3 linked regions of the Mus musculus genome follow. The protein of the gene in region 3 purifies or fractionates together with the protein of the main gene of each other region. This does not show direct contact. Links are inferred from orthologs where the notes say so. Each region holds a gene or a part of one and is shown on either strand. Other genes may lie near its edges.

What was found.
Region 1: the proteins of Cttn (region 3) and Flna purify together in Homo sapiens (affinity purification with mass spectrometry; 3 studies listed by BioGRID and IntAct, with this or other methods). This does not show direct contact. The link is inferred for Mus musculus from reciprocal best matches to the Homo sapiens genes CTTN and FLNA.
Region 2: the proteins of Cttn (region 3) and Asap1 purify together in Homo sapiens (affinity purification with western blotting; 6 studies listed by BioGRID and IntAct, with this or other methods). This does not show direct contact. The link is inferred for Mus musculus from reciprocal best matches to the Homo sapiens genes CTTN and ASAP1.

The regions. Positions count from the first base shown.
Region 1 is NC_000086.7:74,226,192-74,229,626, forward strand, and holds part of Flna (filamin-A), read right to left. Parts: intron 3,319-3,435; coding exon 3,190-3,318; intron 3,002-3,189; coding exon 2,828-3,001; intron 2,731-2,827; coding exon 2,569-2,730; intron 2,334-2,568; coding exon 2,130-2,333; intron 2,048-2,129; coding exon 1,895-2,047; intron 1,784-1,894; coding exon 1,661-1,783; intron 1,567-1,660; coding exon 1,300-1,566; intron 1,145-1,299; coding exon 1,007-1,144; intron 786-1,006; coding exon 670-785; intron 144-669; coding exon 11-143; intron 1-10. UniProt on the Homo sapiens protein: Promotes orthogonal branching of actin filaments and links actin filaments to membrane glycoproteins. Anchors various transmembrane proteins to the actin cytoskeleton and serves as a scaffold for a wide range of cytoplasmic signaling proteins.
Region 2 is NC_000081.6:64,120,864-64,124,511, forward strand, and holds part of Asap1 (arf-GAP with SH3 domain, ANK repeat and PH domain-containing protein 1), read right to left. Parts: intron 3,538-3,648; coding exon 3,452-3,537; intron 3,118-3,451; coding exon 3,002-3,117; intron 2,877-3,001; coding exon 2,809-2,876; intron 1,253-2,808; coding exon 1,145-1,252; intron 1-1,144. UniProt on the Homo sapiens protein: Possesses phosphatidylinositol 4,5-bisphosphate-dependent GTPase-activating protein activity for ARF1 (ADP ribosylation factor 1) and ARF5 and a lesser activity towards ARF6.
Region 3 is NC_000073.6:144,460,804-144,464,451, reverse strand, and holds part of Cttn (src substrate cortactin), read left to right. Parts: intron 1-453; coding exon 454-540; intron 541-1,075; coding exon 1,076-1,149; intron 1,150-3,143; coding exon 3,144-3,273; intron 3,274-3,648.

The sequences.
Region 1 (3,435 bases), on a different chromosome or scaffold from region 3:
AGAGCCTCACCTTGGTCAATCTCTGTGACATAGCACTCCTCCAGAGCTCCTGAGGGGCTGTGCACCTTGGCATCAATTGCCCCCTTGGCTCCATTCAGACTGACTGCAAAAGATGCTGGCTGGTTGACCTTTAACCCTGACTCCTGGAAGCATAGCAGATGTGGTTAGACAGGATGTATAGAACCAGGGCAAATGGGAGAGCAGAAGACCGACAGAGTCACTTACCCATCTGGTGTCCAACATGGTTTAAAGAGGGAGAGCCATTGATCTGTGAGGGCAGCAAGCCACAGGCATACCCCCAACCTCCTATCTCCTAAACATGTTCTCCACAATCACACACCCAGGTAGCAGAAAGGCAAGGTGGCCCACCCTGTAGGTAGCACTCAGCTCTAACAGGCTGTCCCTCTTTAAACCTCAGCCCTGGTGCTCAATGGGCACAGGGTTCTGTTCAAAGCCTTTAGACCTGAGACACGAGAAAAACTCCACGCGGTGGGCAGGGTACTTCCTGCCAACCTCAAGCGTGGGCTGTACCCGGCCAGAGCAGAAGCCTACCATCCAGAATTATTTCTGCGTAGGCACTCAGCCCAGGGCCAAGACCTGCTTGCTATGGTGACTCTGGTCTGGCCGGGCCCAGGAGCCCCAGATGGGCAGTTTCTCTCAGTGCCTCACCTGAAGACTAGAAACAGTAAGGCGGCGGGCGTCACCAGACGGAGAAGCCACAGGCACCACGAAGGGGCTATCAGGTATGTGCTCCTCGTTGAACTTGACTGAGACCTCATAGTCACCTGGAAAGGAAGAGAACATAAGGCTATACCTGGAGGTGCCACATATCCCCAAAGGCTAGCCTAGGAAAGGCCTCTTGCCTCCCTCCCACAGTCCCCTTGGTTGTCCCTGGAACCTTACGATGGAGAATAAGAACCAAGTGGAGACTATGTAACACCTGGGTTCAACATACCCACACTCAGGTCCTACCTCCCCCTACCCCAGCCATTTCTGTTTCCAATACCTGGCTCCTGAACTACGTAGGCCACACCACAGGAGCCATCCTTTCGGTCCTCGAAAGAGATCTCAGCCTTGCTGGGGCCTTCAACAGCAATGGCCAGGCCTCCAGCGCCAGCTTCCCTAGTCCAAATGCCGAACTCCGCTGTGGGAAAGCAGTGTGTGCTCATGGAGCAGAGGACTGGTTCCCAGCCTCAGCCAAGTCTAAGCAAAGCCAAGATCAACATGCCTGCTGGCTACTTCCTACAAACACCCACCTAGGCCCACCTAGGATAGCAAGAATTAGACAAGTACACCTACCTGGCACTCCAACTTCAGCCCTCTCTAGGCCAGGGCCTCCAGCACGGACCTTGTGAGCACCCCCTTCCCCCAGAGGCCCCACAGTGAACTGGAAGGGGCTCCCAGGTACATGCTGGCCCTTGTACTTGACACTGACTGTATGCATTCCCATCTCAGCAGGCACAAATCGGATACAGTAAGTATGGTTCTCTCCTTCTACGATCTCTGCCTCATGGGTCTTGCCTGATGGGCTGGTCACCTGGGCTGTCATATCTTGGATGCTAATTTCTACAAATAGAAGATAGCTTGGTGAGCAGGGAGGGCCCTGTCTCTCTACTTATGCTTAGGGTTGCCCCAGAAACCCTCCTGATCTTTTCCCTACCAGGAATCTTCAGGCTGAGGTCACAATGACTGCCAATATTGGCCACAGAAGGGGCACGTCGCCTGCGTGTGATACTCTCTTTCACCCGGCCCTCACCTGTCACCTTCACAGAAAAGGGACTGCCTGTAGGAAAAAAGTACAATCCATACTATGCACAAGTTACAGGTGGGCACTGAGGTGTGTGACTAGCAATGCTGCCAAACCACAGGTAAGGGGTATGGCTGCCACACTCACCAGGCACATGCTGGTCAGCAAATTTGATGTTTATAATGTAGTTTCCAGGCTCTGTGGGACAGTAGGTGACCCTGCATGTGCCATCCTCCAGATCCTCTGTGTTGATGTCTACTTTGCTAGGGCCCTCAATGGACAGACTAAGCCCACCGTAGCCTGGGAAATAGATAGCAGCTATAAGCCAGAATGCCAAGGAAAGCTAGCTGTATTGCCCCAACTAGCAGACCACACTGCCTACCTGCATCTCTGGTGTCAATAATAAACTCTGCAGGCTCAAAGGTATGACCTTCATGAAGACCTTGACCAGAGACCCTCACACGGCTGGCATCACCTATCTCCGACTGGCTGATCACTACTGGGATGGGACTGCTTGCCACATGCTGGCCATTCTTCTTCACATGTACCAGGTGCTCCCCTGTCTCCTTGGGCACGAAGGAAATCCCTAGGCACAGGATAGGGCTATCAACAAGATGTGGGCCCACAATCTTCTTCCTTGCTCCCTTTGTCTGAACACAGGGTATTTATTACAGGCTAAAATGACTTTAACTCATTATGTAGCCAATGATTGGTTCCCCTGATTCTTCTACTTACACCTCCCAAGTATTAGGACTATGGGCAGTCACCACACCTGGCTTTCCCTCTTTCACAGAAACTTTTGCTCCCTCTTGACCTCTTACCCACGTGGCCATTTCGCAAACGTTTCAGCAGACAGGGTTCCTCTCGACCCGAAGGTGGCACCACAGTGGCTGTGAGTAGGCTAAGGTCTGTTTCTGAGATATTGATGGGGATATCAGCAGCAGAACCCACCTTTAGGTGGGACATACGCATGGAATCGTCACCTGGTAAGGGTGCAAGCCATCAGCCACTATAGATCCAGCCCAAAGAGACTGTGACCTCATGCCACCTGTTCCTGTCATTACTCCCGATGCTCCGTACCTGTTACTCTGGCAGTAAAGGGACTGCCTGGGATGTGTTGATCATTGTACTTAACTAGGATGCTATAGTCACCAGGCAGTACAGGCAGGTAAGAGACACTGCATGTTCCATCCTGGTTGTCAGTGCAACTGATTTCTGCTTTAGATGGACCCTCAATGGCCAGAGACAAGCCCCCTGAAAAATATCACAGATAAGAGTGAGAACTGTGCCCAGAGACACATTGCTGAACCTTTGTGGGTGAGTTGACTTGATGGCTCAGCATGAAGGTAAGGTAGAAAACACCATTCAGGATCATCTCCCACATACAGTTCTCAGCCAATGGAGGACAACTTGGGCAGGTCAAACCTAGAGCGTCTCCTTACCCTCTCCTGCATCCTTGGTGTTGACAGTGAAGGTGGCAGGTTTGTTGACCACTCCATGGGTAAGGCCAGGACCATAAGCAGTGATGTGGCCACAGTTGACATAATCAACATAGAACTGCAGAGGGCTTCCTGAGACCAGAATAGAAGCCACATGGAATACCAGACTCATTCATTTGTTAGTCATTTTGGTTCTGTTTTTGAAACAGGGTCTTTATGTTTCTCTGGCTGGCTTTGAACTTACTATGA
Region 2 (3,648 bases), on a different chromosome or scaffold from region 3:
GGTTGGTAGGAAACTCAGTCCTGCTAATAAATGTCTGCTGGCCTCTGACTGCTTGGGTAAAGATAAAGGTTGAACCTGAAAAACTACTCACAACTCTGCAGGGCACCTCTTCCCTTCCCCAGGAAGATGCTTCCCACTCACAGGGTGAGCGGTTGGTTCTATTCCTCTTTTCTTTCCTCTGGCCAGTACCCACCTAGTCTCGGAAATCCATCTCTGTAGCTGCCTTCTTGATGAGACTGCCAGGGCTCACCAAGGCTGAGGAGCTAGGTGTCTGGAATGCTCGGACTTTCACTAGACAGTCACATTACCATCTGAGTTAGCATTTCTCTCCTCTTGAAATGGAGAGCAACATTAGGACCTTTGTCTGAGTATCCCTTATAATCCCGCCTGGCATACATCTGATGATAAATATGGTGGAACTTTCAAAGGTAGATAAATACCACCTACAAGAGTCACCAAGACCTGGGCCTAATCCTAGAGATAGCCATCTCTCTATCAGCTAGAAGGCTTCAGAAAAGATGCCAAGTCCTCTTGTGCCTAAGTTTTCTCTGGGTACAATCACCGCATCCTGTGAGGTTCTACAGAGACAATCTGAGACAATGGAAAAATATTTATCTCAACTTAGACCACGGGTAAACCCCTCAAACGTGACAATTATGGGTACTTATATGTAGTGTTTTACATGTTTAATTCTACACAGCGACTAGGCTGTGGGGTGCAGGCAATCATCAGTGTAGACACGGCCTTCATTTTAAAGCCGATCACAACGGAATCAGTGGCATCTGAGCTGCCCTCCAAAATGTCCGTGGGCCTCGTGCTGTCAGCTGAAGACCTTAAGAAAAAGTGACCAGGACTTTGGCTTTCAGACCCTCTTGAGCCTCATCTCTGTGCTATCACTGGCTGCTGGAACTAGTAGCTTGTCGGCTGGCCAGCTCCACAACTGCACAGGCCACTTCCTTCAAATGACTGTCTCTTTCCAGATCTTTCCCACAGGTTCTATTGTCCGGCTATTACATGGTGCCCAACAGAGACCAAATGGCTTCCTCAGGTCAGAAGACCCAGTCCAATGCAGCTCACAGAAGGTGGGAGATGGCCCAGGTGCTCTGGAGGGTGCAGCATGTGGAGCACGCACCCGTGCACTCACCTTGTCATCCAGATCGTCATCGCTCTCATCCATCTCGTCCTGTCGAAGATTCCACTCATACTCTACGTGGACATGAGGGTTGAACTTTCCAGATTTAGCCTGGGAAAGCTGTAAGGAACAGCAAGGGCACACCACTTAATGGAAATGCTCAAATATCCACCACTCTACAAGCACCAAGCAAGACCCCACCCCTCAGCCCCAAAGGACACGGCCCAGGGGGCACAGTTCTGACTAGACAAGCTGGGTGGCCGCATGACACACCCAGGGCAGTGTGGGCAGAGACTGTGGTCTCAAAGGACTCCAAGATACAAAATACAGGTGCTGGAGAGATGGTTCTTGTTGCAGATAATCTGGGTTTGGGTCTCAGAACCCACACGGTGGCTCACATGGTAACTAGTTCTAATGTTCTCTTCTGGTCTCTATAGGACCCAGGCACACAAGTGGTATATATACATGCAGCATGTAAGTAAAATACTCATATACAAAAAAAGAAAATTAAATAAATCTTAAGGGATAACAAGAATACATAATACAGCCAGTGATCGTGGTGCAGGTCCTGGCGCTAGGGAAGATTAGAGTTTCAGTCCTCCCTGCAACCCCCACCTGCCAGCCCCTCCCCACAAGAACTCAGCAAGAAACAAATAAAAATATCAAAGCAACAAAAATTACAAAAGGTACAACTTCCAGGTCTGGAGAAACTCAAACTCAGTGGAGTGTCCTTTCCTTCTCCAGCCTCGCCTGGCCTGGGCCTCTGAAATGCAGAGATATTTCCTTACTGCAATGCCTCCCCCATGGAGCCTGGGCTTGTTTGGAGCTTGTGATCCTCCGCCTAAGCCTCCTGAGGGCTCAGGTTACAGGCATGTCCCACTATCCCCAGTCCATTAAGTGAAAACTTAATCCTCATCGAGAGGTCTTAAAAGGGTGGAAACTCAGAAATGGTACTGAGATCAGGGCCTTTGGGAGGTGATGAGGATTAGACAGGGGTTTCAGGAAGGAGCCATAATGGATGAACATTGGTGGCTTTAGATGAGGGACCACTGAGCAGAAAACATAGGTACTCTCCTGTCTCTCATAGTGGGATTAACTGGGAGAAGAAAAAGGCCATCTCGGATACAGCCCCTTTACCCTGAACCACGAGTCAACACACACCTGTTTTCTTTACAACTCGCTCAGTCTGTATATTACATGCTGTCTGCAACAGAGGGCAGACACCAGGCGCTGTGGTTAAGAGAACCCCGCTCACGTGAAGGTCCAGCAGGAGATTAGCGAAGTAGGGAGAGAAAGGTGAGTGTGCACAGGAGGGAGGCAGGAGGGAGGGTGCTAAGCTTGCAGAAAACCACTACACTCTTCTCAGCTCTTGAACTGACTGCCTAAGGAATCCTATCCTCTCCCCTTAGCTGCAAAGCAGCCTGGTGTCCTGGCAAACACGCAGCATGATCCTAATCCTCACTCCCACAAAGGCGTGGGTCTCCAGTGTGACAAGTGCACTCAGAAGGCAAAGCCATGACCTCAGCACTCTTTCAAATGCACTTTAGCACTTATCTGTATTTCTTTAGCTACGTAGAAACAAAATGCTTCATCCTTCCCCAATTCCACCCTCTGAGAAAGAAGAACACTTCATGGCCGCTGATGTCTGACACACCTCTGATCCTGGTTTTGCTTACCAGATCTTCACACTGGGTAGCTTTGAGTCTCTTTGCTATATCCAAGGCAGTTTCTCCATTCTGGTTAACTGAAACAGTAGAATAAATGCAAATAATTATCTAGGATACTATTTCAAGAGGCGAGGCACAGTGACTAAGTTGCATGTGTGTGTAGTCTCGGCCCTCTGGGATGTCTGAGAGCGGCCACACTTACCGATGTCCACGGTGGGCTTGCTCCTAAGCAGCAGCTTCAGACACTCCGGCTTGCCGTACATGCTGCAATAGTGCAGAACTGTATTCCCCACAGACGTTTGCTTATCCAGGTTCCCACTGAAAGATTGCAGCATTATTAGAAAGACTGTGACCACAGGTCCTCTCTCATCTATGAGGTATATGTCTTAAGAAGTTCTTCAGATGCTTAAACGCAGTTTCTACACTCTGTGTTTTCTATGCTTTTTTTCCGTCACCTAGCAGATCATACACAGACCTATGGGCACACTATAAAGCAGGCAGAGACAAAGGGATGCAACTGAGCAGTCACAGCCAATAAAGGTCTTTTAACCAGCTAACCACAGAGCACAGAGTTTGGGAATAGGTCTTACGCAGTTCTGGTTTGTGCTGTAAACTATACTCAGTTCATTAAGATGAAAAACAAAAGCCATACCAGTTTTGTACAAGGAAATCAACCAGATGGAGAGATGTCTGGTCTGCGGTCCTGACGGCAAGATGAAGGGCTGTCTCCCCGAGCTCCTGAGGAGGGAGGGAGGATATGAACTCGGTGATCATGCCTCTAGCAGCTTCACTGCCAAGGAACCCCAAGCAATTACCAAGAGCATGTCGGCTCTCCAATTCTCCAGACCT
Region 3 (3,648 bases):
GCTGGCCAGTGAGCCCCTCAGATCCTCCTGCCTCCCAGGCCACTAGAGTTACAAATGTCCTCATCACAATGAGATTGTTTTTCTACATGGATGCCAAAGCAAGCCTTGCATGGAGCTGTCTCCCCAGCTCCACCTTCAGGACTCTTTTTTTTTTTTTTTTTTTTTTTTTTTGGTTTTTTCGAGACAGGGCTGTCCTGGAACTCACTTTGTAGACCAGTCTGGCCTCGAACACAGAAATCCGCCTGCCTCTGCCTCCCAAGTGCTGGGATTAAAGGCGTGTGCCACCACCACCCTGCTACCTTCAGGAGTCTTAATATGAAGCTGTGATTCGTGCAGGTGTCCTGGAGTTCAGTGACTGTCCTCTGCGGGGAGGTGGCTTCCTAAGGGTTTGGGTCAAGGCTTCTCTGGAGTGCTGGGGTGACTCTCCTAGGTGACTCTCTGCCGCTCTTGCAGATGTGGAAAGCCTCTGCAGGCCATGCTGTGTCCATCACGCAGGATGATGGAGGAGCTGATGACTGGGAGACTGATCCTGATTTTGTGGTAGGAGTCACCAGCCTGCTTTGTCTTACTGGCTGTTTGCCTCTGAGGTTCCCAGCCTGCCCCTGCACTGAGCTGCATAATTTCCTCCAGGGCACAGGGGTACAGCTTAGACGTACTAGTTAGGGTCTGGGATATACTAATTAGGGCATAAGATAAGTAAATTAGGGTGCCAGGTGTACTGTTTAGGTCTCAGGGCATACAAGTTAGGCATGAGAGTACTACATATTTCTCTAGGATGGGAATTATAGTATTTAGGGTATGGGGTGTGCTAGTTAAAATGGGGGGGAGTATGCTAGTTAGGGTACAGGATGTGCTAGTTGGGCTCAAGGTATACTTGTTAAATCATGTATTAGTTTGAGCTCAGGGTGTACTAATAGGGTTCAGGGTATACTAGTTAGAGTACAGAATGTACTAGTCCTCAGGGTGTTCTAGTTAGGGCATGTACCACTGGCTCTTCCAGGGTAGAGATACACTAGTTAGGGTTTAGGGAATGCTTTTTTAGGGTGTGGGATGTGCTAACTTCTTCTCTTTGCAGAATGATGTGAGTGAAAAGGAGCAGAGATGGGGTGCTAAAACCGTGCAGGGATCGGGGCACCAGGAACACATCAAGTAAGTACCTTATGGCACCCCACTCTCCCACACACCGTGCCCATAGGGTGAGATCAGAGCGGGCCTCCCTGCCTCTCCAGGTGAAGATCGTTAAGAGTCTAGTGTTTGTGCGTGGGCCTAAGGTGTCAGGCACACACAGATAATGGACAGGAGACCTAGCCATGTCTTTCAACACAGAACACAGTAGCATAAACTCTTCACTTTCAGTGGCAGCTGCTGAGGGTGTGGGATGGCTTTGAGTAACTTGGACCCTAACCATCTTCATTTGGATCATTGTCTACAAGTTGTCTCCTGGAATTTAGTGCTTGACCTTGGGAGCCCAGCTCCAATCTTGTGGAATGTACCATGCATCGAGTCTGACCCAGCACCTTCTGAAATGCCAACTCTACAGCAGCTTGCATCCCTGTCAGGGAGGGCAGGCAGGCCCTCTGCAGACACCTAGATGCTGTTTTAGGCCCCAAAGGGTTAAGAACACATCCTGTATGTCTGCTTTGGTATTTTGGCTGCGGTAATCAGAACGTTTGACTAGGTGCCCAGAAGAGGGCTGTGTGGTGGCTTGGCTTGTAGGTGGATTTTTTTTTTTTTTTTTTTTTTTGAGACAGGGTTTCTCTGTGTAGCCCTGGCTGTACCTGGAACTCACTCTGTAGACCAGGCTGGCCTCGAACTCAGAAATCGCCTGCCTCTGCCTCCCAAGTGCTGGGATTAAAGGCATGCGCCACCACCGCCCGGCTTGTAGGAGGATTGTAGCTGATATTTTTATCTATTTCTGAGATAGAGTCCTGCTGAGTTTCCCTGTCTGGTCCCACCTTCCAAGCTCGTGACATTCTTTCCCATAGTGACTTTCTGAATCTGAGTGTAGAGTAACCCAGCCTACCATGGAAGAGGTTTCGAGTTTCCCTGGTGTAGTAGAAGAGGGGATGGATATGAGGTGAACAGGGATCTGGGCAGCCAAGTGCCTATGAGTCTGTCCCCATCGTTTTAGAACATGATGGGAAGGGTGCATGGGAACACCCATGTGGCTCTCTGGATGGATGAAGACTCCAGGGGGAGGGGCATATGGGAGTCCCATGCTTCCTCTCAGGTTGTTGGTGGTGTTTCTCTTTTGCTGCTCATCAAGATCGGTGGTTCCGGGCCTGGTGTGCCTCTGTCCCCACTTTCGAGCTTGTTCATATGCAGAGCTGTGGGGCCTGTGTCTGCTGCTCAGGAAGGCCCTGTGACACAGCGCCCCAGTGACAGCTGTTTGCAGGCAGACAGGTTCTGGCGCTCCTCACCTGTACACCATTGCTGCTTGTCTTAGTTTGCTCTGCATTGCTATGATAAAGATACTGACCAAACACAACCTAGAGAGAAGCAAAGGGTTCTTTTCACCTTCCAGCTTCTAAGTCCATCACTGAGGGAAGCCAGATCAGGAACTTGCAGGCAAGAACTAAAGCAGAGGCCATGGAGGAAGACTCCTTATAGCTTACTTCTCATGGTTTGCTTGGCTGCTTTCTTATACCACCCAGGCAGATCCCAGGGGCTCTCCCAGCATTAACTCCGCCCCCCAGTGGGCTATGTCCTCCCATATCAGTCATCAAGAAAATGCCCTATAGTAGGTCAGTCTGATGGGGGCATTTTCTCAGTTGAGGTTTCCTCTCTGAGAGGACTCTAGCTTGTATCAAGTTGCCACAATGCTAACCAACATAGCCAGCTCCTTCTGGTGACCTTGGGGGTTTGTAGATGGGACTCTAGGTGACATTTACAGAAATCAACCCTCTATCTGCTGATCTAAGTGAAGGGAAGCTCAGCTGCGCTGCCTCTGGGACTGGCCACATGGTCCTGTGTGGATTTAGACCCATATTCCTCCCACATACAGAGCCTTGGAGGCAGGCACAGTGAACAAACAGGACAGCAATCTCGCTGACTCACAAGGGCATCTGTATTCCTGTTTGTCCTGCTGTCGGGTGAGGTGCATGCCTGGACCCTGACATGGCCCTGCTTTTCCTCCCCTCCAGCATTCACAAGCTTCGAGAGAATGTCTTCCAAGAACACCAGACGCTCAAGGAGAAGGAGCTGGAAACGGGACCCAAGGCTTCCCACGGCTATGGCGGGAAGTTCGGTGTGGAGCAGGATAGGATGGACAGAGTAAGTGGCTGACCGGGCTGAGCTGCTGGCCTGCATGGGTGCATGATGTGGGTGGCAGTCAGACTTTTCCTGAGTCATAGTGTAGAGTGGGGTTTGCTGAGGGTGAGGGGTTGCTCTGAGGGGTCTTCTATAGCTGCCCTCTGGTAAAGTTCTTCTGTGTCTCTAGTAGCTGTTTTACATTGTCAGAGGCCCCAGCCAGTGGCTAGTATGTAGGGGGGGCTCTCTGGGAGAGATCAGCACCATGACCGGCTTTGTGAGCACAACAGAGTCTGGAAGCATCCGTCTCACAGACGTCATTGTCACCATGGCCTATGGTTGAGATGGGCGAAGTCAGCTCTGAGGGCCCTTAGCTCCCATCACATCTGTGGAGTCCAC